Linked DNA regions of Tamandua tetradactyla. Each later gene encodes a partner of the first gene's protein in a complex. Links are inferred from orthologs where the notes say so. Each region holds a gene or a part of one and is shown on either strand. Other genes may lie near its edges.

Region 1 (7,608 bases):
GGTAAATTGGTAAATCTAAAACAGGTCAATACTTCATTTTTTTAATTAACAAATTAATTTCAGTACAAAAAGGAAAATGCTTTTTCACTGTAATTTTCCAACTCATGCATTAAACTGAATTTAGCATATTTCAAAATTGAACTATTTAGCATACAGTTTGCTACAGCTGCCTTTTTATTCCAATGTGTCAATCAGAAATCTAAATATATCCTAGAATAGAATAAACTCCCTAAGAAAGATTATAATGTGTGTTAGATTTTTGGAATGATCCCCACTTCTGTAGTGTAAACAAATATTTAGGCAGATTCTGCTGAAATCGTTTTCAATTTTCATTAGAAAGGCAATGTTGATAAAGTATCCTTTTTCTTTTTTATGAACTGCAAAAGGAAATTATGGTTGTGTTAGATAAACCTTGTGAAAGACTGTATGGAAGCATCACACATAAAATGTAAAAATATAGATAATTTGGCTTTCATTTTTACTTGCTAGACTATTCAGCACACCAAAACAGTAGGAAAAAACCTAAAACTATTAGCTTTAAGAATCAAATACGAAAAAAAAAAAAAGAATCAAATATGCTTCTTCCTAGGGATTTTTTTCTGTATGGACTTGAATTGCAGGATATATTTCAAATCAACCTTCAATACACCATTAACGATAAAAAATGAATCATTTAATCCTTTTTATCAATATTGATGGTAAAATAATGTAAATGGTGAACATGTGCAGATGTGTACTCTACTTTAGTATAGCAGAAAAGTTGCCTTTTAAAGTTAAGTTATACAAGATGCTAACAATAAGGTAGTATATGGGAATTGTATTTTATGCATGAGTTTTCTATAAACCTACAACTTTTCTAATTAAAAGAAATTAAGTTATAAAAATGAAATGGTAGGTAACTATCTGCCTAACAAAATGATTAAAATTAATCATGGCTTTTTCCCCCCAACTTCAAAAGCAAGCAAGAGATTGTCAGAATTTAAATTAAATTATTACAAAGGGCAAGTTATTACCTTAAATTGAAAACAACTTTGTGCATAGAAGTACGATGTAAACATTACAGAAAGTGCCTGCCAAAACATTACGACATTATGCCTCCTGATGTCCAAAACCATCAAAATATGCTCCCCTAAATTCCTATTACTGGACTAGATGCCTTCCAAGATAAAAGAGAAGAAACCCAAAACTTTCACAAATGCTGTTCAATGAAAGTGTAAGCCTATACATCTAAAAGGGAATGGCAGCAGGAAATGACGGTGAAATGTTTCACGAAAAAAATCTCTTATAACCTTTCAAAACAAGCTTTTCGTTACATTCAAACCTATCTCCAGTGAACAAAGCAAGCTACATAAAAACAAACATATACACAAAAAGAAAAATTAAAAAGCACTCACTTTTCTTACTTTGGTAAGAAGTACTTTGGTAACAATGAATGTAGGACCATCAAACAATTTTTAAAGTTGAAAACATAAGTCCTTCCTTTTTTCAACACCAATAAGCTTTACAATATTGAACATATTCGTGTTAATAATTTTTTAAATTTATGTGTTCAGAATATCAATCTCTCCCTCTACAAGGGTGAAAGATGAGCTCTGTTTTTAACTCATGTTTTAAGTTCCTCTGGCTGAATTTTAACTTTCCAAGGTAAAATTACTGGGTTATTTTCCTACGTTCAACTTTGGGCAGGCAGTTCTTGCTGCTTCAGCTTATCTGGTTGTAAATTCAGACCACTATTAATACTTTATCTTTTGGGGCTTTTAAAATGGCCTAATTGCTTGCAATCTTTACGTGTATTCGCTGGATGAAAAGTACCGCAAGACAACAAGATTTTCATAAGGCACAAGCTGCTTTCATATCCCGGTGGCTTTTTCATTTACCGGTGAAGAGGACTGGAAGGCTTTGACACGAACCGGCCATGCAACTAGCAGACTGCACGCCCCACCCCCACCCTCATTTAAATCAAATCTCACACATGCGACTTACCTTGTATGACATGCTCTGGTGAAATGGTCTTCTTTTCCGATTTGTTGCAAATCTCATTGGCTTCAGAAGATATAAGGTGAATGAATTCAGTGCAGCAGTTCACCACCAGCTCCCGGGCATCGTTGGCCACCCGGACACTGGGAAGAGTCTCTTTGATCATCTTATTGATAGCAGCTCGAGGTATAGTGAGATCATCATCATTGCCAGATGAAGAAGCCATCGTACCTTCCTATTTCTCGCGCCCCGACTTTAAAAACAACTCCCCGGCTCCGGTACACTACTTCACGGAATTTCTCAAAAGGCCGCCCTGGAGAGTAACCCCGAGGGGCGCTTGGAGAACAGGGTTCAAAAAGCAGGAAGGGAAGGAGAGGAGCTGGCTTGAGAGGGTTGGGAACACCAGAGTATGTGAGATTTAGGGCGAGGTTGGGAGGAAAGTCGGGGGGCTGAAGATTCTGCAGGCAGCACTGCCCGGGCCGGGGAAAGGAAAGCTCGGCGTGGTCCGGAAATTTGAACGGCTGGGGAACCACCTCCGTGTCTCCTCGGAGGGGCGAGCGCTGTCGCTTAACCAGCCGGCCGCCAACGGCGCCGGAGTAGAGGCAAGATCCAGGGGCACTGGCCTCGCCGCGGTACAGGGCGGACACCCAGCGGGCTCGGCTCTACAGAGCCTGAGCCCCCGCCGCCGCCAGCAGCCGTTGCTGCCGCCTCTGCCAAACCATCCTTCAGATACCGGCGCCGCTTTCACAACATGTCGGCCGAGGCCGCTGCTGAAATTGAGGCGGCTGCCTCGACAAGAATACGGACAAAGTCAGGAACGGGGGGATCTCAGTGGCGGCCGCCGTGACCGTTTAGCCCGAACGAAGATCTTGGAAGCCCAAGCTGCAGCGACGGCGGCCCCTCTAGACGCCAAGGAAGGCTTGCTGGGAGCCGCTCCCGACACCCTTTGCACCACCGGAAGCCTCTGCCCACACCAGCTTCCCCCTCTCTCCCATACCGACTTCCGGGTGTAGCTGCCGCCCTTCCCCCACCAGCGCCGGCGGGAACCGCCTGTTCTCGCTGCCAGCAGCTTCCGCTTCTTGCGGGCCTTGCACGCGCCCGGGCATCCTGCCCCTTCGTGGGGTCCGCTGCTGGGCAGGCGCGCGCGTATCGCGGTACCGGGGAACCTGCGCACGCGCTTTCTTCGGGGTTGGGCACTGGACAGGAATTGGAGTGGGTGGGCGAGAGGAAACTCAGTCTCTTCGCCTCTGCCTTCTCTCAACCTTCTGCGGCCTCGAAACGCTGCCGCAGCCGTCTTTGGGAACAAAGGAGCTGTAGATTTCGTTAAAAGAACTCTCTACTTTTCTTTAAGGAGACGTGTTTGAGCTTGAAGGGGAAAGGAACGGGGCCTGGGCTCGGTATGAGGAGGTGGGATAGATTGAACATCATGTACCTGCACCGTGCGAGGGAAAGCTTTTGAAAATGTCTGATAGTTGTTAGTCGAATCAAAGCGCTGTATGGTCTTCCACCCACTTTCTCGTTTTATGGGAAAGGAGATATTCAGAGAGGAGGCTTGGCTAGTCACAACTTGAGGCTAAACTGGAAACTAGAAGTCAGACCCACTGTAGTGGAAATGCTTAGCGTACGAGTCATCGTTCCAACATAGCCGTTTTTCATAATGTATTGCACGCTGGCTTCTGGAGGGAAAAAAATGTATGTTAAGAGTATCTTAAGCAACTCTGATATTTGCTTATCTCTACAGGTGTCGAGTTCTTCACAAAAAATGTGTTATTTTTAGAAACCAAATTTATTGTACTGTCATTTGAACGAAGAGACTACATTATAAATAGTGGAATATTGCAATTTCTATAATGTAAATGAGGTACTATTTAAATCAGTTTTGGCGATTTAGTGCATCAAATACGTTGTTTTATATATACTGCGCGGCGGCTGGTTATTTGGAATATTTTTAAAAACGTTTTGTTTCTGTCTGAAAACTCTAGATGTGGCACCTCTAAGGGATCTTACGTTTATCATTTCTTCGTTTAGCATTTTTTCCTGGACACTTGCCTGTTCCTTCATTTTTTAAGTGTGAACACTTGTTTTTCAGTTCTAGTAAGTTTAGTCAAAACAAAATTTTTTTGATTTAACAATATTTTAAAATTCAAAGTAGGAATGTGAAAATGTTGGCTCAGAGGTAACGTTTTCCCGAAACGGTTTTTGTAATTTAGTTTGCTATTCGTTTAAAGAGTTATGTCATCTAAATTTGGCCTTATATTAATCTTACAAACCATGGACTTATTAATTTTATCAGTCCCCAGAGATATCATTGTCACTGGCCCATATTTTGTCTCTCCTAAAAAAGAAAATAGTGCCTTTTCATATAACACTTATGCTGTGTAGACTTAGAGACGTATGTTATGTAGATCAATAGAGCATGCATTTTAAGTTGTTATTTCAGTAGTAGTTTGTTACTACAGCCATAATGAACGTGGAATATGTAGAGAAGAAATCTAGGTTCGTCTCGGCCTTTTTGTTACTTTAGGTAGGTCACTTTCTTGGCCTCATATTCTTCAAGAAAAAATGAGATATATAATTCACAGGATTCCAGTCAAGTATGACTGTATGTGGAAATACTTTTTACTTTATATATTATAGCATATATTATATATGCTATATGTAATAAGCATTATATAAATGTTAGGGTTTACTGTCACTTTTATCAGGTCTCGGTTAAGGGGCAGTTTCAACCAGGAAGAAACCCTATATAATATGCTGAGAGAAAATTTTATTAAATATAAATAGCAATGTGGTATGTCAGGAAATATGCTGCTCTGGATTCCATATTTAAGTATTTACTTATAGGGATATTTATAGGCTTTTGAGAACAAGGATAACATCTCCTTAATAAGCTTTAAGAGTTTAAGAGATAGTGCACATAAATGGGACATTTTTTTTATGGTATCACCAAATTCATGATATGAACAGAAACATGATAGCATAATGCATTATTTTTTTATGATGATTTAAATAGTTATCTTAAAATGTGTTATTTCTTAGATGCCCAGGTCTTCAGCTAAAATTAGTGACAATGGTAGATCCGTAATATTTGTAATTTGAAGCATAACATACTTCTTTTGTGCTTAGCACTGTGCTAAATACTTGTACCCATATTATCTCATTTAATTCTCACAGCAATCTTACTTGATAGGGACTGTTTAAATTCCAGTTTTACAGATAAAGAAAGTAACTCCGAGGGGCTAAATAACTTGCTTTTTATGCATCTCTTCAGATGACTGTGATTTTTGCTTTTTATTTTGTTGATATAATGTATTACATTAAAATGATTTTCAAGTGTAAAACCAACCTTGTATCCCTGGGATAAATCTCACTTAGTCAAAGAATATAATTTTCTTTATATATTACTGGATTCAGTTTGCTAGTGTTTTGTTGAGGATTTTTGCATATATATCATAAAATATATTGGTCTTTCTCTGGTTTTGGTATCGAGGTAACACTAGCCATAAAGAATGAGTTTGGAATAGCTCCCACATCCCAACAGATTTATTTATTCCTCATGCTGTGGGTTCATGAAGGGTCAGCAAGGGGACTTTTCTCATAGTAGTCACTCAAGTATGCATTGAAACATTTGGGAAGAAGTATTGAAGGAGCCTTGAAATGTAAATTTTCGATAGGTAGAGAGAAAGGAAAAAAGTATTTGTGTTTAAAGTAACAATTCGAAGTTGTGGAGACAAATTATTCTGGCAACAGTGAGGAGATGGCCCTAATTGAAGCAAAGCATTATTTTTGTTTATTAGAAGTGTGAAAGCCAAAGATAAAAGGCAGCAGAAATCGTGAGGCAATAGAAACCAGAAATAGAGGGAGAGGAGTGAGAAGCTAAATCAGTTGTAACAAGGGCAACAGAAGCTAGAACAAAAGCTGTCTTCTCAAGTATAGGGGAGCAAATGCCTCTGTCATATATCCCAACAAAATAGTGGAATGCTAGAGTATTGATGTATGCACTTTTGAAAGAATCAGTAGGCCTCTATGAAACAGTTTCCTTTGCTTCTTTATTTCCTGTGTGTCTTTATAATTTAATACCCTTCTTAAACACTGTTTTGTTTTCTGCAACTTGAAAGAGACCAACTTATTCAAGGACTTTAGCCTTAGATTTGTATTTAAGCTACCATTTAACCAGCTATGTAACCTTGGGCAGAGTATTTAGTCTGTGTCTTGATTTTTCTCACCTATAAAATAAGAATAAGAATACCTGCTTCACAGGGTTGTTTCAAAGATCAAATGACATAATGTATACAAAGTAACTGAGAACTTAAATGCTCAATAAATGATGGTGGTTGTTAAAAATAATCATTACACTGATAATTATTAGTCATAGGAATAATAGAGTGAAACAAAAAACCAGTTCACAGAAAAAGATGGAAGAACCTGCAAATTTGGTTCTTCCTTAGTGAAAGAAACAGATTAGTCAAACAAAATTATAAAGTTTTAGCCTCAGAGACTGGAATTAAGGATTAGGGTAGTGTCACTGACAAAAACGGCCAAGTTGAAAGGAAGCAGTTTAGAGGAGACAACATGCCTCCTTTTGTACGTGTTTGGGTTTGAAGCAACAATAGGCATTTAAGGGAGGGATGTCCTTTAGGCAATGGGAAGAAGATAGGCAGCCTCTGATTCCTATATTCATTCGATAACTGAGTTCTACTATCCTAACTATGGTAAGGGAGAAATAAGATAAACACAACACTCTACTTGTTTTCAGGGAAAGCAGACTATAAACCAGCTTGAAACTAAATGCTATAAAGAAAAAAGCTAAAGATTTGCAGAGGAAATGGTGATTGACACAGTGTGAGTTACATAAGGCTATATGCAGGACTCAACATTTTAACTGAGACTTCAAAATGGAGTAGAATTTGATATAGAAGAAAAGGGCATACAGCTGAAGAAAAAACACAAAAGTATTGCTTAGAGTGGCTCTGTTTATAGATCGTGAACCGTTATAGTGGTATCAGATGCTGAAAAGGTAAATTAGGACAAAAAATAAATCAGTGCTATTATGAATGACAAACTGTGCTAGAAATGTCCATAGTCAAAATTTCATTTCATTTCTCCTATACCTCTACAAAACAGATGTTTTGATGGTGGAGAAACAATTTCAGAGAAGTTGACTAATTTGTTCAAAGTTTCACACATAATAAGTGATGGAACTGGAATATGAGATCTGGTTGTTTTGTTTGTTTTGTTTTTCAAGTCCAAAGCTGAGGCTATTTTTTTTCAGTGTAGTAACTATCTCTAAATTTTAGCAAGAGAGAAAAAGTTACATTCATTATAACACTTTAAAAATACAGAGCACTTTTACATGAATTTACTGTTTGTAACTAGTTAGCATTACCATTTTATAGATCAGAGAATCAATATTTAGTGAGTTTATTCAAGGTCAGAAGTAAATGACAGATTGGGAATGCAACCCAAGCTTTCGTACTCCAAAGCCTAAGCTCTTTCCAACATTATATTAAGGAATGTGGAGTTTCTTCTGTAGGCAATGGGAAGAGCTAGTGCACATTTTTGGGAAGGAGGATGACAATAAAAATGTTTAAAAAGATTAGTCTGGGATAACATGTGGATGAATGGGAATGG
Region 2 (7,392 bases), on another chromosome or scaffold:
TAGGGCAGGTCTTTACAGCACACTATAAAAATACAACATACGGTACATACAACTTAATTATATTAATTTATCCAAAATCTTTGATAAAAAGTCAGTCATGTTTTCTACAAAATAAAGTAAGTGCTGCATGAGTTCACAAACAGATTTTATAAGTTCTGTATATAACAAAAAGATAAATCCTCCTTGTACAAGGAACCAGATATCCAAAGTTACCAATAAAAAGGCACTAGACTGAATGAATACTGCATGGCAGAAATTTACTGCACTTTGAACATGAGACCAGAAAAATCTCAAGTCAGTATTAGACAAGTGTAAACAAATAATGAAGTTTTATGTAGGTTGCACTGGCAAAGATGAATTCCCCCTAATTTTTATTATTTTGATGTCTATAAAGCTTTCATTATATAGCAATTGGTTATGTTGGAACTAAGCTATTCCTATACTTTCACAGTCCTTGAAGATATCTATTGCTGATTATAGCAAATTTCTGAAAACAGCTGAAGATAAAGCAGGCAAATCCTCAACCAAAGCAAAGCATCAAATTTTCTAGATATAGAAAATAAATCTAAATGTTTGAATCATATCCTCATTTCAATTCAACCGAATTATATGAGCCTTCAAGTGCAATTAAGGAACTTGGTCTTTTAGGAAAACCAAATACAAATGTCACATATTAACTTTAAAACTATCCCAACAGATCCAATTATTCATTCAACAAATCCTCTATTAGTAAAACAATTTCTACACATTTTATCCTATATAATTTGTAAGAATAAATCAATCTATAGACCATATAAATATGAATTTTCAGTTAAAACTTTATTAAAATTAATATGAAAATCTAAGTTAACAATAAATAATTCCTTAGTGAGGTAAAATGGGCCATTTAGAGGCAAGCAATAAGGTTAAAATTCGTAAATTTTGCAATCTAGGAGTATAAAATACTGTTTAACATTTAATTTTATGCTTCCCATTGAGGAAAACTAATACTACAACAACTATACAGAATGAACTTAAGACATATATGGCATACATTTTAAAAATCCTCTAAACACGTTGCAAAAGTTTGAAATAGCTATTCCCTCAACATGATTTTTATAAATATAGTACTCTGTTTCTATTCTAATCTTTAGACAATACATCTCGAAATATAAACAGAATTATCAAAGTATAGTTTAACTGATCAGACAATCTTATTTTCTGACACTTGTATAGAAGATCCCTTCACTGGGTCAGGCAAATTCACCAAATATTTACTCTGAACGTTTTTAATACGTAACACAGTATATTTTAATCACATCTCTACCTATCTCTACAGAATACCTGAATGTTTAAATTTCTAAATGTTTGAAAAATTCAGTATGCAAAATATTTCAAAAGAAATGTTTAAATCATGTCTCAATGTTAATTTTTAAAACTATTCATCATTGAAACAAAAACATCTTCTGTAATAACAAGATAGCATACTTTTTTCATCCTAACATTAGAATGTAAATAAACTTCCAAAAAGTTCCAATGTCCACATCTTAAAAATAAAAGGTTCTCTTAACTGTTAAAGCATTTACAATGTTAACAATAATTAATCAAAAGTCCCAAGTCTTTAAAAACATTTTTTTCGGTGAGTTTTTGGCAAACAAATGGGTTTAAAAGTTACATTATGCCTTTTTGCAGATTCCATCAATAAATTGTTCCATTACAGCAAACTGAAGGTTTAACTTTGTAAGTCATGAAATACATACTAGAATTTTTTTAAATAGTGAAATACCATTTTAAAACATTTATTCTCCGTATACTTAAGGCTTTTAAAAATAATTTTCACAAATCACACTCTATTTTTATAGAAATCCACCATTTCCCTCAACAAAAAAAAAATGTCTGCGGTGTCTAATTCACTATATGCACTAGTACCAGTCCCAGAACAAATTTTTATAGCTACAAAATATTCTAAGATATAAAAGAAAGTATGTCCTTTTAAAAAGCAGGCTAACATTTTCAAGTTGTTTTTCATTTAAAATTTACTTTGAACGATAGACAATGAAATCAAATAGCAAGTTGATCCGAATAGTTTGAAGAGCCCAGTTTTTCCAAATCCACTTTTACCATGACATTCATGCAAAAGCTATTTGTCAGCCAGTTAAACTAATTAATAGTTAAACAACAGGTCTGATGTAAACAGCATCAATAATGGACAACCCACCCAATTTTACGCTAGAAGTACTTTAGATTTATTCCTTTTATTCTCCTCTTCGTTCAAAAGGGTAAGAGATGCACACGACGGCCAGAAGGAAAAAGCAAATAACAAAACCAAGTGACTCATAAGAGTAAACCACTCAATAAAGGCAAAGAGAGCGCGTTTCCAGAATCTCAGGCCGCAATGACCAAACAACTTCTAAAAATGAATTGGAGAAAAAGAGGACCTGAGCGCCAGGTGTCTCCCAAAGACTTAGAGCAGCTTTTCCGAATTTTTACTCTCCGACCAAGCCAAGCCAGCTCCTCCCTGGAGCTGGATTTTCATACAGCATCCTCACTCACTTTTGGAGATCACAGTTAACAGGAAATCCCATCTGCAACCAGTTCTAAACTAAGCCTGTGCTGCGTTCTCCTCCCTCCGACCGGACGCGGCTGGACTCGGGCTTCTCCCCAGGAATCCGCTACCCTGTCAAGAGTCCCACAAGCCCCACAGGCCCGCAGGCCCCGGCGGTCCCCGCCCTCCGCTAGAGGGAAAAAGGGGTTGGGGGGGCGCACGATGGTCCCCAAACCCCTGTTCCCCCAGGCCGCCACTTACCTGTCCAGCCAGGGTGCACAGAGAGCCAAAGATTTCGCAGAGCACTTCGCGGGAGAGGCTGAGGCTGCAGTTCTGCTCCAAGCTCCTGTCACCGCTGCTTGGGAGACTAAGCTCCGCGGCAGCAGCCATGACACTTTCGCAGGCCGCCCCCACCACCACCAAAGTACGCAAGCTATCCCCCTCCTTCTCCAGCTTTCGTCGCTCTGCGATGACGTAAACCACCGCGTCTCTTTTCGCTCGGGATTTTTGGCTCCCCACCCTCTCAATGTGACTGACAAGTACGGGCACCAATCACGTGATCAGCCGCTGTAGCCTTACTTCCTCGGCTGGGAGCCGGCGGTTGCTGACCTGCGCGAGGCTGGTTGCTGTGTGTCGGACGGCGGTAGGAGCCGTGGTTCTTTCGAGGGTTAGCACCATAATACCTAGCTTAATTCATGTTTATGAGTGTTGGCAAAAGGAGAATTGTTAACTGTTAGAATTTGAGCTCCAAAATAAGTTGACATTTTAACGTGGCGTTTGTAGTCTGGAGAAGTATCTGGTCGGGGATGGAGTTTGAGAAACGGTCTTTCTCACGGAATCATGCTCAGGGTAGAATTTTCTCATCTTCACAAGCTGTTTAAAAATTACAACAAATTAACTCTATAATTTTTCGTGCGGGTTACACGAACAATGAAAGTGTTCTTTTATGCCTGTAACTATCAAGGGAATGACATTAACGACTTTAAATCTGCGGAATAATTTTTCAGGTTTTAAAACGTGGCATCGGTTGCTATTATCTGGGTGATACGGTAGAGATGCTCAACCCTAAAATTGTTTCAAATGGATGAACTTACAAGTATTTCCACGCAGTACAATCTTTGAAAATAGAAGGAGAAATTAAAATTTATCAGATAGCTTTATTACAATGAGGTTTGAAGGACTCTAATCTTTTTTAAAAAGGCTAACACTTAGAAAAAAATTTTTGGTTCTCCAATTGAAAAAAACAAATTTTAGAGGAATTTTTATGTAAGGTTCTATTCAAAAACACCAAAAAAAAAAATCTATCAGTTTGGAGATAAAGGGGGATTTTTTTAAACTCCTAATTCTACTCTAACCCATTTACAGTAAAGGAAACAATGGTGGAAACTTGCACATTGTATATTCTTCAGTTTTAGAGTAGGCTGAATGAAAGGAGAAGAAATAAGGTATCTAGAAACTGGGATAAGGACAGTAGGGATTAAAAAAAAAACCCTTTGACCTATCTCTAGGGAGCCTCTTATTTAGGTTTTCATTTCCAAGGATTTGTGGAATCATCAGACTTCTATAGGATCTTCAGAAATCTTGTCTGTTTCCTTATTAGCTGACAAAATATACAACTGATAGTCCAGCCTATGTCTAGAGACATCCAGAAAATATATCACAATATCTAATCCTAAATTGAGCAAATCTCATTCAAACCACTTATCCCCAAATTTATAGTTTTTTATAATGTTAGCCTCTGATTCTACTTTTAATGGAAAATACTTGCGATTGAGTAACTACAAGTTTGGTTTCTGTGGCAAATTACAAACCAGTATCACGTAGATTAGCAAGCAGTATCAGATCATTTGCTGTCATCTAGGTGTGAAGAATTTTTTCAAATATTCAGGACACTGGTATGAAAGACATTTGTGAACACGCATCTTTAACAAGTGCTGCTCATTCTTCTCTTTGCCATAACTGATTTTGAAGTTTCAAGTTTCTCTACCACAGAATTAACTGATGGCCATTTGATTCATACTATCTCATCTCTCAATGCAATTCTCTTTTGATATCTAGATGTCCATTTGTATCTTGTATTGTTTACCTACATAATATTTGGAATTTGTTAATTCTTTTGTGACTTATTTCTTCTTCCTTTCCTACTGCTTCCTGAAGCCTATTATCTGCATTTTGGAATTTTTTTTTTCTCTCTTTTTTTATTTTATAATAGGAAATTCCATTTTGAATAGAAGAGTTTGTAGACTGAAAAGATGTGGGTTCCTTTTGCCTAAATTTAAGCAGAAATTGATAGATATTAATGTATAACAGAAATAAATAAATAAAAGCTATGCAATTTAGAAAAGGAATAAAGAAAAAAATTGCCATTTATAGAAAACTATGGATTATGACGTGGTTTACTAAAAAATCTGCTGCTTGGCAGAAATGATTCAAAAATATTGATTTTGGCATTAGCTACAGAGTTATAAATATGATTCTGCAAGTTTATGCCAAGAATCAATTGAGCAGGATAGAAATTATATATATATGACAATTAGGCTATGTACTTGTCTTAATCTTAATACGTTCCTGTGGGTATGACCCCATTGTAAAGAGGACCATTTGATGAGGTTACTTCAGTTAAGGTGTGGCCCCGCTGAATCAGGATGGGTCTTAATCCTACTACTGGAGGCTTTACAGAGAAGTCCACAAAGTAGAAATCAGGACAGAGCAATCACAAGTCAAAGAAACTGGAGGAGAAGAAAAGACATCGTCATTTTCATTGTCATGTGGCGGAAAAGCCAAGGACCAATGATCACTGGTATCAGCCCCGAATGCCACAGTCTTTAGGGAGAAAGCATTGCCTTGCTGTAGCCTCAGTTTAGGCTTCTCCTCCCTTCAAAACCCTGAGCCAGTAAATTCCCATTGTTTAAGCCACTCCATTTTATGATATTTGTTTTGGCATCTAGGAAAATAAAACACTACCTCATCAACAAAAATGTCTTTTATGACAAGCTTTAAAGGCATAATTCTATTAAATACAACAGTGCCTAGTAAAATGCCTGAATTATTAAATGTGTTTTAACAGATGTTTGTTGAATGAATGATGATAACAGATTTTCCCTAATGCAGAAAAAGCAAAACAAATGGTATTTGCCTTCTCTGGTTCCCCATCACCTGCTGGGTAAATCCCAGTGCCTTTAGCATGGCCTCTAAGGCCCTTCTCATGATATGACTGTTGCCTATATCTTACCTCGTTTTTTGCTACAAACTTTGTTACTTAATACTCCCCAGTCTGCTGTTACTTCATCAAAATTCTGCTGTTTCTTGCCTCCATGCCTTTATTCATGCCTTTTGCTTTTGTCTATTTGGAAACGTCCTATTCAAATAGGAGTTCAGAAATCTTCAAACCCCAGTCCAGAAATTACCCTCTTTAGGAAGGCTTTCCTCATATCCCTCTTCATAAAGAGTGTATTGTCTCCTCTGCTAAACTATTCCTGCAACTTGTTTGTATGTACTTATCATTTTATTTTGTGCTTATTATCGTATTTACCACATTAACATAGAAATTTGTTTGAATACATGACTATCTCCTGATTGGACTAGGAGTGTTTATATGTATCGTGTTCCTGTACCTAAGGCTTTCCATAGTTCCTTGCAGAGAGCAGTTGCTCGGTATATGCTTGTTGAACTGAATTTATTTGCCTGCCTAAGGTGAACAGATTTGTGAAATGGGGGGAGGGAGAAGTAATTTCTACTCTTGGGTGAAAATTTTGATACATAAAAAGAATACTATAAACAGTTTGCTTTAAGTAATGAAGCATAAACCTAGGGAAGCAAATTCAAAGTGCTCAAATTTTTCTTGACTGAATAAATTTAGCTATCCCCCATAACCATTCTCCTCAGTGATGTCCTTGCAAATTAATTCTATCCACCGTATGACTGGCTTTCTCATAGGCATTGGGGGGTGCAAAGATGAATCAGACAAGAGCCTTGCCTCAAAGAGTTCCAATTCTAGTGAGATAGGCAGATATGTAAACAAAAGACTATGATATAATGTGAGAATGACCGTATTAGGGTATGTATAAAGTAATACAGCCAATTAATTCCATTGGGAAAGGGGTTGGTGTTTGATGTCAGGAAAAGCTATAAACAATTAGGGTAAAACAGATTGTGCCTCAAACAATGAATAGGAATTCTCAATTTACAGAAAACATTATGAGCAGCAACTTGAGCATGCTTGATGTATTTAGGGAGGTTTCATTGCATAGGGTAGTATAAGCCAGCACTTTCCACAATTTGTTCTGCAGAATGCTAATCAGAAGATAGTTCTTTTAAGGAGAGGTTCTATTATCAAATAAATTGGAGAAACGTTACAGGTAATGATGGACTAATTGTGATGCCATCTTATTCAATGGATTATCTCCATTCTCCTTCCCATTAGCAAGGAACTCAGCATGTGGTCAAGCCCATGGAAGCAACTAAACCAATCACAACATTCGATCTTTGAAGTTTTGCTTACTGAAATTCCCCATACCAAGACAGTCAGGAAATAGAAACCGTATCTGTTATTTGAACGGAGAAAGTTTATTATAAAACTTATTAGTTAGAATAAGTCAACTAACTGAAAAGGAAACAAAGAATAATAAAATAGCATAGAGGAAGCAGTTAATCTCTATAGAGCTTGGAGAACGAAAAGAAAAGTTTGGAATTGTTAAAATTTATGAGCTTACAAGAATAGCCCTATGGAATCCTCAGAGGAGAGGGTACTGCTCAGCTGCTATTGATGTCTCAAAGAGGACATGATGAGGCTTATTTGGCAAGTTCATGGATACAGGACATCAATATACTAAAGGACAATATCTATCTGTTAACATACTTGTAATTGT
Region 3 (6,847 bases), on another chromosome or scaffold:
GAGCTAGATGTGCTTGAAGATTCCATTCTTCCCTAAACTTATAAATATTCCATAAAGGGAATGCGGGTAGAAAATAAACTTGGAGCTTCTTTAAGAAATCACTGAAGAAGAAATATAACCAAAAAATGCCTTCCGATTCTTCTCGTTGGTACAATACTAATCATCCAACAACGGTACTGCTATTTCTGCCAAACCTTTCATTGTCAGAATCACAGAAACGGCAGTGTTTTTTTTTCTCCATAGCTTGTGGTTATCTGAATTTATTTCATACATATACCACAATTCTCTGTTCAGTTTCTTTTTAAATCATGGTTTACTCTTAGAACACAAGTTCCACAAAAAAAAGGCAGGGCTGGGTAGCCACCCAGGCATTTCCTTTATTCCTACCACTGACATTCTCTCTTTCTTTCCTTTTTTTTTTTTGATATTATTTCTCTTGGCAACTGAAGCATGCTATTGGTTCTAAAGAGAAACCCCACTGCTTTTTAAAATCTAACAACAGGATAGATAGTAAGCCTGGTGTATCTCAGGGTAGTTTTCTTACAAGACCCAGAGTGATATGTTCATAGCATATATTCATTGGGCAACTGATAAGAATTGGTTGTTTTTTTATCTTGATTTGATACTATTTTAATTCCTTCAGGGTCAGATTCACAGAGTTTTACTGCTTAACTTCAAAGTGTTCACTTTTCTTCCTTGATCAAATTCCACTTCAGTATGCTGTTAAATATTCATCTAGGACTTGTTTCATTGTACTTACTGCTAAAGGAACCCAAACGGTCCATTCTCCAATTGGCAGAGACTGCTGCTTTGATCGTCCTTAATGTAGAGCTCCTTCAAGATCTCAATCTGGCCAACAAAGCTTGTTGTGATCATACACAGCAAAGTTTGATGAGTACCTATGAACCAACATAAGTGGCACATGGATAAGGATATAATCAAAAGGGACAAATAAAGAGAAAATAATGCAGCGTATTCAGCTCTATGACATCGTAGCTTTGTAATGCTGAGCTAATTATTTTAAACTATAAACCTTTATTCTTCTGAAAATGGTGTGTGATACAATAGTATCTACCTCCTAGAATTGGTGTTAAAAATCATAACCAAATGTCAAATCCATATATAAAACGAGGACAATTCATGGCCTATAATGCTACATAGTTATAATAAACGTCACTTCTCTCCTTTAGCTCTCTTCCCTTTGGAGAACTGATGCCCCCACATCTGACTCTGGTAGGGATGCCAATCACAGTACTTCATCCACCTTCCCTAAACAAGCTAAAACAACCAGATCTCTTCTTACAGAAATATGAATTTTGAGTAAGACAGGCAAGGACTGAAGACAGGTGGAGATCAGTCATTCACCAGTCAAAGAATTCGGTCCCATTGTTGAGATCCCGAGAGCAGCCCAACTCCCTCAACACTCTTACCTTTCCAATAAAACTTGAATTTGAATGAGTTTCTTTTACTACAAACCAAGGAATCCTAACTAATGTAGCATTAATTTGTTCACTCATTTATTCTTTCAACAAATATTTAATAGGTATGTTCAACTTATAGTCCTTAAAGGCAGAAATGAACACATTTTCCACTTGCTGAATCAAGGAACATCATGCCTTTATGCTATTGCTTTTCTGGCATTTTCCACATTTTACTTTCTGACAATAACTTCTGAATCTGTTTTTTTTTTTTCCCACTTCTGTATGAAATTAAAGCAGGGACTAAATCTAACATACACGTGGTAATACTACGTACAAACTTTAAGTACTAAGCACCATGCCACACACATTGAAGAAAATAAATGGATGTGGAATGGACAAGAAAATGTTAGTATACAATAAGCCGATTCATATCTTTTGTTCTTAGAGTGATTTCTTTCACCTTGGTATTTCTACCCTGGGGATGACTTCATTAACGTGTAGGCAACAGTCAGATAACATAGCAGTCAATAAACTTTTATTTTGGGAGGGGTGGGGTCACCTCCTTCTGCTATAGTCCCAGGAAAAACTGATCTTAGAAGAAAAATGAGTTTAGCAAGGGGTTTTATGCACTCAGTTATGAAACAGAACTTGAGATTTACGGAGCTTTTCCCATATGCCATGTACCTTGGTATCACTGCAAGTGGATTATCTCTTTGAATCCTGCAACCTCCTAAGGCACGTTCCTTTTTCTAAGGAAAGGAAACAAAGATGATGTTCCTTGCACAACGTCTTACAGATATTAACAGCCGTGCCATTTTAAACTGAAGTTAACAGAACAGTCAGGTAAAGGATGCGTGCAATAGTCTGATAAACCATGAGCTTTCTGCACACCCTACATCATAAAGTACTGCAATAAGCAGAGTTGTCTTCTCCTGCTTGCTTGCTTCTCACAAAATACCACATTTCTGACACATCTCTCTGAGGACAGGAAGGTAACTACAAGCGACGAGCTTCAGTGTGGTGGAGAGGAAGGGTGAAGAATGGGAGTTTTGCAGATATGGGTTCAAATTCTCACTTTTTCCTTACTAACTGTACGATCTTAGGTAAATCATTTTACCTGAGCCTCGCTCAGTTCTCAGCTTCAAATTGGAGCTAAGCTATCACCTTGTGAGGCCTACTTGAAAATCCGATGGGGTAACGTGGATCAGGGACAGAGCACACAGTGACTGCTATTATTAGCGTTGTGCGCTCCATTGCTGAGACAGGAAAACCGAGGGCGGGAAGCGCCAGGCGCGGGGCGGGGCCGCGATGAGTCAGGCCGGGACCGCACCGCTCTCACCCCCTCACGCAGCGTGGCTCCGAACCACTCACCCGCGCACCTTCCTGGGCGCCGTCGTCGCAGTCGGCCGGCCCCTTCCCCCCCGCCGCCCTTGCTGTGCCCGCACCCCCTCCACGTTCAGCTAGAGGGGCTTGCGCCCGCCAGCCCGCTGGACCCACCACGGTGCATCGCGCCTCACCTCTCTGCGTCCCCCTCCTCTGCGCCCTGCAGTCGCAGTCCGCGTGCACGCCCCCCGGCCTGCGTGCTCGCTCCCGGGCGGCGCCGACGGGAGTGCGCCGCGTGCCGCCCGCCCGCCGCCGCCTCCCAGCTCCTCCCCGGCGCCTCCGCCCCTTCTGCGGTCGCCACGGAGCTTTTTGCTTCCTAGCCGGCCTAGTCGCGGCCACCCTAGTTGAGGACTGGAAGGATGGAGTTGAGCAGCTTGTTAGACTTTTGAGTCCGACCAGTGTTCGCTGACTGCCGCGTGGCACTTGGCCGGTCGCTACAGGCTTCCCATCGCCGGGTGACGTTTGATCCCTTCCACAGGGCGGCGAGGTGGACTGGGCCGGTACTGTTTTGTTTTTAGCATTCCCACCTACCACTCCGGTTGCAGCCAGGGAAACTGAGGCTAAGTGACTGGGGCTAAGGACGACGAGCACTGGCCACCTCTGGAATTCAGGTCTCGGAGTGGTGCTCATGGATTAACCAGACTCAAAGGTTTAAAGGATGAACAAGGTACATTTTAATCAGATGCTTCTGGAACGTCGAAATTCTCTTCCTTGGAAAGAACCATCCGCCCTTTGTGCGTCAGAAGCCCAAATTGAGGCGCAATGAGAGATGCAGTGGTCTACAGTGATGTCAATCTTGAGGGCTAGGTATGTCCCAACATCTCTTGTTACTACTACTAATTATTATAATAGCTACTATTTGTCCAGTGCTTATTGCATGCCAGGCATTGTACAGAGCAGTTTACACACATTGTCTCATTTAATCTGCAAAAACAATCTTATGAGTTAAGCATTATTGTTACCCTCATCTTACAGGTGAAGAAATTGAGGCTCTGGCCATATAAATAACTTGGAATCACACTGCTAGGAAGTGTTGGAGAAGGGGACTCAAATCCTGGTTTTTCGTAACCGTTATGCTGTTACATCTGTTTACAACTCTGTCTTTGATAAATTGTCCCTACCTCTTTCAGAAATTCATTTATACTTTCTGCTTGTGCTAACTCTTTATTGATTTTTTTAGATAAGTTATATAAATGTATTGTTAAAAAAAAAACCATATGAGCAAAAACAATGTAAAACTCAGCTCCCACCACATTCCATAAACAATTAACATTTTGATATGCGCCGTTCCAGACATTTTCCTATTCATGAGGACAACAAATATATTATAGATAGTTTTACATTTTATGTATCCTGAAAATCTATTACTCATTCCTTTGAAAAATTAGTTAGTGAACAGACACTGCTCTAGGTGCTGGGAATTTAATAGTGGACAAAAAATAATTTCTGCCTTATGGAGCTCATAGTGTAGTGGGGGGAATTTGACAATAAGCAATACAGGTGGTATGTTGCCAAATAATAAGTAATGCCAGGTAAGTAGTAAATTCTATGGAAAATGGAATCTTGAATAGGGTGTGAGATTTTGTGTGTTTGTGCAGGTTATTGTGATGCCCTGATACATCCCAGAATAATTTAGGCAGAGAATAAAAAAGTATTTGCAAAGTACCCTTGGAGGACTGGGAGAAAGGAAGGAATATTAAACTTCCCCATCTGGGGAATTCCTTATATTCTCACAAGCATTGGGGATAACCAGTTTAATAGGCTGATCCTTCGCTTTTGGGACTTACTCGTATGAAACTTATTTTGCAAAGAAAAAGATAAGCCTAGTTATAATTATGCCTAAGAGTCATCCCCAGAGAACCTCTTCTGTTGCTCAGATATGGCCTTTCTCTCTAACCCAATTTGGCAGGTAGAACTTACTGCCCTCCCCACTACGTGGGACATAACTCTCAGGAGTGTAAGTCTCCCTGGCAAGGTGGGACATGTCTCCCAGAGCTGGAACTTTGGCATCATGGTATTGAGAAAGCCTTCTTGACCAAAAGGGGAAGAGAGAAATGAGACAAAATAAAATTTTAGTGGCTGAGAGATTTCAAACAGAGTCAAGAGGTTATCCTGAAGGTTGTTGTTATGCATTATACAGATGTCCCTTTTTCGTTTGTGGTATATTGAAATGGCTAGAGGGAAGTTCCTGAAACTGTTGAACTGTATTCTAGTAGCCTTGATTCTTATTGTAAACCTTAACAAGCAAACATACAAACGATCCTGTACATGGTGTACAATCAATAGCTCACAATATCATCGCATAGTTGTGTGTTCATCACCACGATCATCTTTTTGAACATTTGCATCTCTCCAGTAAAAGAAATAAAAAGAAAAACTCATACATACCATTCCCCTTACCCCTCCCTCTCACTGACTACTAGTATTTCAGTCTACTCAATTTATTTTAACCTTTGTTCCCCCTATTATTTGTTTATTTTTTATCCATATTTTTTACTCATCTGTCCATACCCTGCATAAAAGTAGCATCAGACACCCAGTAGCCTTGACTCTTTTTTTTTCATTTATTTTTTATTTTTAATTGTTTAACCTTGACTCTTGAAGATGATTGTTTAACTATATAGCTTTTACAACATGACCATGTGAGTGTGAAAACCTAGTGGCTGATGCTCCCTTTATCCAAGGTATGGGCAGATGAGTTAAAAAATTAGGGCAAAAAATATATAAATAATTGGAGAGAGATAAAGGGTAAAAAAAAATTGGGTAGATGGCAATACTAGTGGTCAGTGAGAAGAGGGGTAAGGGGTATGGATGTATGGATTTTTTATTTTTCCTTTTTATTTCTTTTTCTGGAGTGATTCACATGTTCTAAAAATTATCATGGTGATGACTATGCAACTATGTGATATTATTGTGAGCCATTGATTGTATACTTTGGATAGCCTATGAAAAAAATATCAGAAGTGATATGTGGGGGTGCTCTTTTAGCTAAAGTAGACAGAGAAGACCTCTCAATGGAGGTGGCACATAAACAGAAATCCAATCATTTAGTGAGAGACAGAGAGGTATATGGATTTCTAGAGGGAAACTATTCTCAGAGAAGAGACACAGCAAGTGTAATGTCACTGAGATAGGAAGACTTGCTTGGCATGTTAGATAAACAGCAAGGAGATCAGTGGGACTGTAATGTAACATATAGCAAATTAAAGAGATAAGGTGAAAAACACAAACAGGAGCCCAGTTGTATATCATCTGATAAGCTATAATGGACTTTGGATTCTATCAGGATGTGATTGAATGCCATGGAATGCTAAGAGCAAAGGAGTGATCGCATTTGTTTTAAAAGGATCACTCTGGCAGCTGCATGGAAAATAGACAATAGAAGCATAAAAACTGCCCTTTAAAGCATAAATTGTGCTTTTATTCAGCAGTTGTTTAACAGATAATTTATTAATGTAGACATTCCACCTAAACCTTTACAACCACTCCCACCTACTCCACAAGCTGGAGATAGGGTCAGACAGGAAATTCTTTGTACCTTTCTCACCTAACCTGAAACTTTTTTGAGACTGGCTAGGGTGTATATGAAAATCTGAAAGTCAGAATTGTCAGTCAACTGAATATGAGTCATCGATGTTGTGCCATTGTGGGGAAAAAAAAAGTCCCGAATAATAATGAGATCTGTTCTTTTAAAACAGCATTCAAGCACCTGGAAATTATTTTACTTTTTCACATGTTGATAGGCCTTCATTAGATTGTAAGTCAGTTTGGTCAGTGTGCTTAAGACAGATGTGGAGAAGTTAAACAGTAGTAATAGTGATAAGTGATTAAGGAAGTGTCGAAGGAAGAACAGATTTGGAAGACAAATTTAAAGTTCTGGTTTGGGTCTGTGTTTTGCAATCTAAGTGAAGATGATAACTGGAGCTCAGGGGAGAGGTCAAGGCTGAAACTGTATAATTGTATTAGAGTTATTTGTTTGGATGTGTGTTTTCCTTAGTTAGAGCTTCTTGAAGACAAGGACTGTCGGTGTCTTCTTTGAAACG
Region 4 (7,324 bases), on another chromosome or scaffold:
TCCAGGAGACCTCTTTTGTTGCTCAGATGTGGCTTTCTCTCTAAGCCCAGCTCTGTAAGGAAAATCATTACCCTCCCCCATACATGACATTCAGGGGTAAAAGTCTCCTTGACAATGTGGGGCATGACTCCTGGGGATGTCTTGCCCTGGCACCCTGAGATCTACAACACCTTCCTGACCAAAAGGGGGAAACAAAGTGTAATAAAATAAGGCGTCAATGGCTAATAGATATCAGATGGAGACAACAGACTATTCGGAGGCTACTCTTTTGCAAGCTTCAGTTTGGTAGTGCTGATTGCCAGGGTTTGCTAAACCCCAGCCAACATCACTCTTATTAACTCTTAAGAACACCTAGGGCTCAAACTGAGCCTCTATAAAAGTTTCAGGCACAAAGTTTGCTTTCCTGGTACCTATAATATCCAGAAGGCTCCTAAGCCAGATAAATCCTAAAACCCAGAGGTACCAGCCTCTCCAAGATTATCAACTAATTACATCCCCCTGTCCTTTAGTGTCAACACCCCTTTTCAATGTGAAAAAGTCAGAACAAGCATTGCCCAAAGATCCCTATAGATTGGGAGAAGGATCAGAGGAGAAGGAGGAATTGTAACAGAGAAAATAGGATTTAACAAACAAGTTTGGCTGCTGAGTCACTGTACTGAAATTTCTTCCAGTTTTCAATGTTTTGGAACAGCTAGAAGGAAAAATCTGAAATAATGGAATGGTAACTCATCAGAAACTCTGAAATCTGTTCTGTAACTACTTGTTCAAGTGTACTTTGAAAATTACTGCTTTTTCTTTCTTTTCTTTGTATATATGTTTCATTTCACAGTTTAAAAAAAAAAAAAAAAAAAAGACTCTCCCTTACGACCTTACTTCCCTTGGCAGGCAGGGAGGGAAATGGGAAATGCTCAGATTCAGTGGGTTTTGTCCCAACAGGTACACAAGGAGCCACATCATGACCAGAAGGTGGCATTGTATGCATGAATCCAAGGCAGGAAGGGGAAAACCTGAGTTCACTCTTGAAATTGCTTCCCCCCCCCCCCCCGCTTATAAAATAAGCATACATTGTGAAAAATTCAAACATTGCAGAGGTATAGAATCTATAATGGAGAAAGTAAAAACTTTCCATAATCTCAGCCTGGGATATAACCACTATGGAGAGTTTGGTACACATCCCACTTCCCATTTTTGTTTTCAATAACTGAAATAATTTTTCTTACAGAAGTAGGATCCTAGTATACATGCATATCTACAACTGGCTTTTTTTTTAACCTAACAATGTATTGTGGACCCCTTTCTCATCAGAGCTAGAGAGAGAGCTTATTTTTAATGGCTACAGAGTATTTCACAGAAGGAGGCTGATGAGTCCCCCACTGGGACACTTTGCTTCCTGCTTTTCACCACTGCAAACAAGGCTACAGTCAACATCCTTGTACCTGCATCTTTATTTCACCTGGAAGTCTTTCTGTAAAAGACTCCTGGAAGTCAGGCTCCAATATCAAGGAGTCAGTAGTACATTTACCATTCTTAGCAATACTGCCCATTGGAAGATTGCATCCATTTATTTTTAAAATGATGATACCATACTAAGAAAAATTCCAACACAGCTTCCGGGTTTGAGGGCATCTCTGACCAGGACCGAAGGGCAGACAGATACATCCTGTTTCACCTTATTTAAACATTCCCTTGGTGTACAGCAGTGGCACTGACCCACCTTGATGGCACACCCTGCCTTTGGCCTGGGAAGCTTCACATCCTCTGAGCTAGTGACTTCCACATACCGCCAGGCCATCCAACTTTCTTGATTTGGGTGGTATAACTCCTGGAGTTGGGCATTTCTTGCAGTCTTTCCCACAAATCACCATTCTTGTTCAAGCTTCACCACCTCTAGGATGTCTGCCCTGATTTCACACCCCCCACATCCATCCAGGGAATTCTCCCAGCCCCCTGTGTTTTTGCTCAGTATATTATAATCCAGTATGGGTTATATAATAGGTGTGCTTGGCAACCACATGGAATGTCATAAAGGTACAGTCACAAGCAGAGAAAAATAAACTTCCTGGTAGCTAATTATATATACACCTGGAGGCGAGAGGCTGGGAAAACACACATCTTGACTTTTCCCACTGAGTCACTCTTAGGCCCCACAGGGTCCGTCTTGAATGGATTCCCTTCTCACTTGGCTGCCCTTCCTCCAACCACTCCCATGCTAGAGTCTGTTCTCTCCTCCAGCACCTGCAAGGTCAGGGCCAAGTCCCAGGCTCCACGGAGGACAGTCACAATGTCTTCATGGGCTCTGTGGGACTAGGGTTGGGCCTCGCAGTTCCTGCAGAGCAGAGCATCTGAAAGTTGAACAAGCAATACTGATCTCAGCATAACTTCATGTATTCAGCTGACACTGACTCTTTGCCAGCCATCGATAATGCATTATAAGACAGACAAGATTCCTATTCTAATGAATAATGATAACAGTAGCTAACATTTATTGAATGTCTACTATGTCTTAGGCGTGTGGTAAGCCTTTGTTAAGAATTAGTCTTTAAACCTCACAGCCAACCCCACGAGGTAGATACCATTATGGATCCCTTTTGACAAATGAGGAAACTGAGTTACAGAAAGACCAAATAACTTTGTCTAAGGCAACACTACTGACAAGTGGCAGAACCAAGCTTTAGACCCAGAGATTCCGGCTCCAGAGCCTACTCCTTCAGCTGCTAACTAACCTAAACCCAGCAGTTGCATTCTAGTGGAAACAAATAATGGAGAAGTAAACAAAAAGGATACCTTCAGTCAGCAATCACGGAAGGCTGTGACGAAAGTCACATCAAGTCAGGTTAATGGAATAAAGACTACCTTTATAGAGCCCCACACAGGGGCTCTGTGTGGTGTTTTCCACAGGGGTGTGCCCTGCTGGGCTGGAGGCCACCTCCCCACCCCACCGAGCTTCCGGAGGGCATGGCCGCCCCTCAGCACAGGACCTGGCCCAAGGCCGGCTTTAATGACAGCTTGTGGAGGAGGGAAGGGATCCTGCCAGGTGCCTCCACACACACAGCGGGCCAGGGCTTTGCCAGCGTTTGTCCAGCAGTGCCAACCCCCAGAGAGCGCTGGGGGGGGGCGGGGGGCAGGTAGACTGCGAGGAGGCCCCACCCCCACTCCCCGCTCACCAGCCCTGCAGCCCTGAGCAGCCCACACCCTGAGCCCGGGTCTCCCTTCTTCGCAGAGTGGGGGTAATAGCAGTGCTGGTGCCTGGCTCAGGGCTAAGGCACCCACGGTGGGTGCTGTTGTTTTCGTCACATCCCAGGCGAGGGAACGGACGCAGACGGGGGCCTGAGATCTCACAGGCAGAATCCGGCCAGGCCTGGTGGACCCGCTCCTCACCAGGGCCAGTGTCACCTGCTCGACTGACCATGTTGGCATGGTTGTCGCGGGGACAGGAGACCACGCTAGCTTCTAGCAAGTGGGGTCCAAGAGGCTCAAAGGGCTGGGCCAAGCAGGAGAGTCCCCACAGCGCACTGGGGTGCCCTGCCCTGCTAGACATTCAGGAAGGTGAAACGCAGACACAGGCTGGTAATTTCCCAAACGCAGAGCCTAACTCCATGTTACAGGGGAGGGTTCTGCTACCACACCTAGTGATAAAGCCCGTCCCTTGGCAAGAACACCTCGTTTTCTCATTTTCTCCACATCAAGGCTCGTTAGCTTGTGTTGTCTTTACTAGGGTTAGTTCCCTCTTCCTGTCATCTGGGACCTTATGGTCATCCCAACCCTGTTTTTTTCCCCTTGTGTCCTCCCGTCCGCAGTTTCGTTTCCCGTGTGTTAAAAAACTCACAGATCACCCAAATCTGGGAAACGAGCTAAATTTAATTCTGGCTCAGGCAAGGGAGAAACACAAGCAGAAGTGTTGCTGCTTGTTAAACAGAGGAGGAGGCTGGGTTATTACAGGATTTAGGGGAAGGAGGCAGTTTAGGTTAACACTGAAATGGAACAGGGTTTTTGATAGGCTCAAAGCAAAGTGGGTGTGTGTGCACAGGCTAGCATCTGGCCTGGGCTGAGAAGGGCTGTTTCACTGGAGATTGCAGAGGTTTTGTTTTTTTTTAATTAAAAAGGAGTAAATGGAATTTCCTGTCCATCCAGTTCCCTGCCCCTGGATGACAGGTGCTGGGAGTTGGTATACCAGCCTCAGGGGAAACCTGAGTGGGCAACTGAGGCTGCACCTTCTCTGGGTCAGCAAGATACAGAACTTTCAGGCAAGAGTGGAATATTCTATTTTCACATGTTTCTTATCCAAACTCTTTCCTTAAGTTCATGTAATTAATAATAAGTAGACACCAATATCTACCTCAGTCATATCCATATTTTGGAATACGTATTATCTTATTATAAATTTCCTTTTTTTCTCCTTTGAGTTCTAGTTAGAGTATTATGTTGATTTTAGTTTTGAAATTATGTGACTAACCCTTATATAGTCCTCCATACTGCACCAGGCACTGTTCTAAATTCCTTCCCATATGTTCATTTAATCTGCACACCAACTTTTGTGGTAGATAGAATTCTTTATCAACCTCAATTTATAGAGGAGAAACAGCCCCAGAGCGTTTGAGTGACTTATCCAAGGTCACACAGGAAGTAGTGGAATTGGAACAGGAGTTTGAACCCAGGGCATCTGGCTCCAAGATCTGCACACTTAACCATCTGTAAGCCATACTGTCAGGTGAGGGCACTTACCTAGTGCCCTAAGGAACTTCTAGTAAAAAAGGGGTTGGGGGCATGAACCCAGCACACAGTAGGAACACAAAGGAAGTGGGATTGAACTGGGAAGGGCGCATCTGGATATAACCCCCACTCCATGTGCTGCTATTCAGGCCCTGAATCTAAGCCAGAATGGGGGGGAAAGGGGTGGAGTGAGCTATGTGGTCACGGACCCCAGGCCAGGAGGGGCACAGGGGCAGAGAGGGGGCGGCAGACAGGAAGGAGGCAGCACGGGAGAGACCCTCATGCCCCCCTGGCCCTGATTCCAAGGACTGTCTGTGCCCAGACCCTGCCCCCTTTCCCCTCCTCCCCGAGGGGCGGGGATCTCCTCTGTGGAAAAACACCCAGCTGGGCGAGCCCCGGTGGAGGAGAGGGTGGGGGGGGCCAGGGCTTACGGACCCAACTCTCGTGACTTGTGTTTACTGGGCCAGGTTCTGGGAAAGGGCCAGATTGCATCAGCCAGGGCCCGAGGGATGGCAGCCAGACAAGGCTGAGGCAGAGACACGGCCTTATAAACGGGGAGGGGAGAGGCGCCTGGGAGGGGAACCAGACACAGACAAACAGAGCTCTAGAAGAGGACGAGAGAGGAGACAGGGACGGTGAGGGTCAGAGGCCATGACGGCCACCTTCCCGCCAGCAGCCAGCCCATCCCAGCAGCCGCTGGGGCCTGAGGAGGACGAGGCTCACCTGGATGAGCACGACCTCTACGGCCTGAGCCACTTCCACCTGGGTAAGGCCCGGCCCCGCCATCTTCCTGCCCCTCCACTTCCATCCCTGGCCCCCTGCAAACGGTCTGACCTCCTTGAACTAGGTCCCCTCCTTGGGCTTCTCCCCACCCCTTGCCCTTGTCCACCCAACCTAATCCCTTGACCCTCAGGTCAGCCTGGGGCCCCCAAGTCACCCCCTCCTGATCCCCCATACACTGGACTCCAGGGCCTCACAACACAGAATACTGGAGCAACCACAGAGCCGCCAAGCACCCCACGTTTCCCAAGATAGGGAAACAAGCTGACAGGGGCCTGGGACTGTCCCCAGCTCGTGGTGACCAGCCCCCCGTCTTCTGTATCCAGCCCGAGCACCTGCCCCCCACCCCACAAAGTGGGGACTCAGTGGGTCCCCACTCTCCCCTGAGACCCCACAGCTGCCTCAGCCCCCCTCGCCTCTGACTCCTGCCTTGGTTTCCAGGAGGGGGAGGTCGGAAAGGACGCACCAAGAGGGAAGCGGCCGCCAACACCAACCGCCCCAGCCCCGGCGGGCACGAGAGGAAACTGGTGACCAAGCTCCAGAATGCAGAGCGGAAAAAGCGAGGGGCCCGACCCTGAGGCCGAGCTGGAGGTGAGGAGTCAGCGGGGTTCCTTCTGCCTCCCAGAGGCAGCCAGCAGGCGCCTGGTCCCGGCCTGGGGGAGGAGGGGTCTGCAGCGCTCCTGGGCTCTCACGGGAAGAGGAGACACACCTTTGGCTCTGAATTTCCTAGCGGCCAGAACGAAAAGGGAAACAGAACCTTTCCAATTGGAGGGAAATTTGGTTTACAACTAGAGAAATGAAAGCCCAGAGACAGCTGGGCAGGTGTCTGGAGTCAACAGAGCAAATGAGCAAGGAAGACAGAATTAGAACCTGAGTCTCGGGCCCTTTTACCACGTGCTTTCCCGTCCCTCCCCCACCCCAGGTGAAACCAGAGCACGGACCCCACAACACCAGCAACGGAGACAGAACTACGGAGACCAGACCACGGAGGAATTAGGGCCTGGGGGCAGGACCCAGGCCGGCTTGTCCCCCTCCCCACCCCCAGAACTCACCCACCTAACCAAAGCTCTCAGGGCCACCAAGGGGGCACCCCAGACCCCCCAAAAATGGCAAAATGGGAGCAAAAGACAGGGAATGGACAGGCAGAGTCAGGGAGGGGCCCCCCAAAAGGGAAAGACGCTGGAGAAACCAGAGCTCCCCCAGGGCAGAGGCGACAATAAAGAGATCAAGTACGGCAGCTACAGCTTGTGTGGTTTTATCCTCCCCTCTGCGCGTTTTTGTTGGGACACGTCTCTGCCTGCCTCGGTCAGCATTTGCATGAACTGATGAGAGAGCACTTTTTGTGGGTCCATATTTGGTGTGTGGATTTGGGCGTATTCCTGTTTTTATATGGCCCGCTCCTGCCAGCTGTGTTTTGGTGGGTACCTTTTGTGGTTTCTGATTGGGTGCAGGGAATTTCCTGTTTCTCTGCAATGCTGCCCAGGAAACACACCCCTCCCGCTTCCCACAGGTTCACTGAATAACAATCTTTTGTTTATGTTGTGCTCGAGAACAACCACTTTTGAAGGACATGCTATTTATGGGTGCTATCTACAAGGTAGAGAAAACTGAGATTTAAGACACTAAAAGATTCAGAGCTCAGGTTCAAGGAGTTTTAGTCTGTCTGCAAGAGGTAGGTCTCCTTGTCCGGGGAGCTGCTGGGACTGGGTTCCCGGAGACCAGCTGGGAAGGACGAGTCTCACTCGGTGCTAGCAGCCTCAGAAGCAGTTAGGGGAAGAATAGAGTGCAAATAAGGAGTGTGTTTGGAGCTAAGAGGATATACAGGATGAGCTAG

Evidence for each region.
Region 2: DR1 (region 1) and MBIP share a complex: the UniProt entries of both Homo sapiens proteins name them as parts of the ADA2A-containing complex. The link is inferred for Tamandua tetradactyla from reciprocal best matches to the Homo sapiens genes DR1 and MBIP.
Region 3: DR1 (region 1) and TADA2A share a complex: the UniProt entries of both Homo sapiens proteins name them as parts of the ADA2A-containing complex. The link is inferred for Tamandua tetradactyla from reciprocal best matches to the Homo sapiens genes DR1 and TADA2A.
Region 4: DR1 (region 1) and SGF29 share a complex: the UniProt entries of both Homo sapiens proteins name them as parts of the ADA2A-containing complex. The link is inferred for Tamandua tetradactyla from reciprocal best matches to the Homo sapiens genes DR1 and SGF29.

Annotation. Positions count from the first base shown.
Region 1 is NC_135337.1:30,527,745-30,535,352, forward strand, and holds the start of DR1 (protein Dr1), read right to left. Parts: upstream 3,018-7,608; 5' UTR 2,204-3,017; coding exon 1,984-2,203; intron 1-1,983. UniProt on the Homo sapiens protein: The association of the DR1/DRAP1 heterodimer with TBP results in a functional repression of both activated and basal transcription of class II genes.
Region 2 is NC_135340.1:17,271,334-17,278,725, reverse strand, and holds the start of MBIP (MAP3K12-binding inhibitory protein 1), read right to left. Parts: upstream 3,006-7,392; 5' UTR 2,915-3,005; coding exon 2,786-2,914; intron 1-2,785. UniProt on the Homo sapiens protein: Inhibits the MAP3K12 activity to induce the activation of the JNK/SAPK pathway. Component of the ATAC complex, a complex with histone acetyltransferase activity on histones H3 and H4.
Region 3 is NC_135332.1:44,823,883-44,830,729, reverse strand, and holds the start of TADA2A (transcriptional adapter 2-alpha), read right to left. Parts: upstream 3,020-6,847; 5' UTR 2,939-3,019; exon of another isoform or gene 2,919-2,938; intron 2,171-2,918; exon of another isoform or gene 2,106-2,170; intron 900-2,105; 5' UTR 786-899; coding exon 761-785; intron 1-760. Other genes in the region: ACACA (acetyl-CoA carboxylase 1), read left to right, coding at 3,574-3,611. UniProt on the Homo sapiens protein: Component of the ATAC complex, a complex with histone acetyltransferase activity on histones H3 and H4. Required for the function of some acidic activation domains, which activate transcription from a distant site. Binds double-stranded DNA.
Region 4 is NC_135349.1:24,815,748-24,823,071, forward strand, and holds the start of SGF29 (SAGA-associated factor 29), read right to left. Parts: upstream 3,008-7,324; 5' UTR 2,785-3,007; intron 2,343-2,784; 5' UTR 2,236-2,342; intron 2,210-2,235; exon of another isoform or gene 1,715-2,209; intron 1-1,714. Other genes in the region: NUPR1 (nuclear protein 1), read left to right, coding at 5,362-5,476, 5,932-6,068. UniProt on the Homo sapiens protein: Chromatin reader component of some histone acetyltransferase (HAT) SAGA-type complexes like the TFTC-HAT, ATAC or STAGA complexes.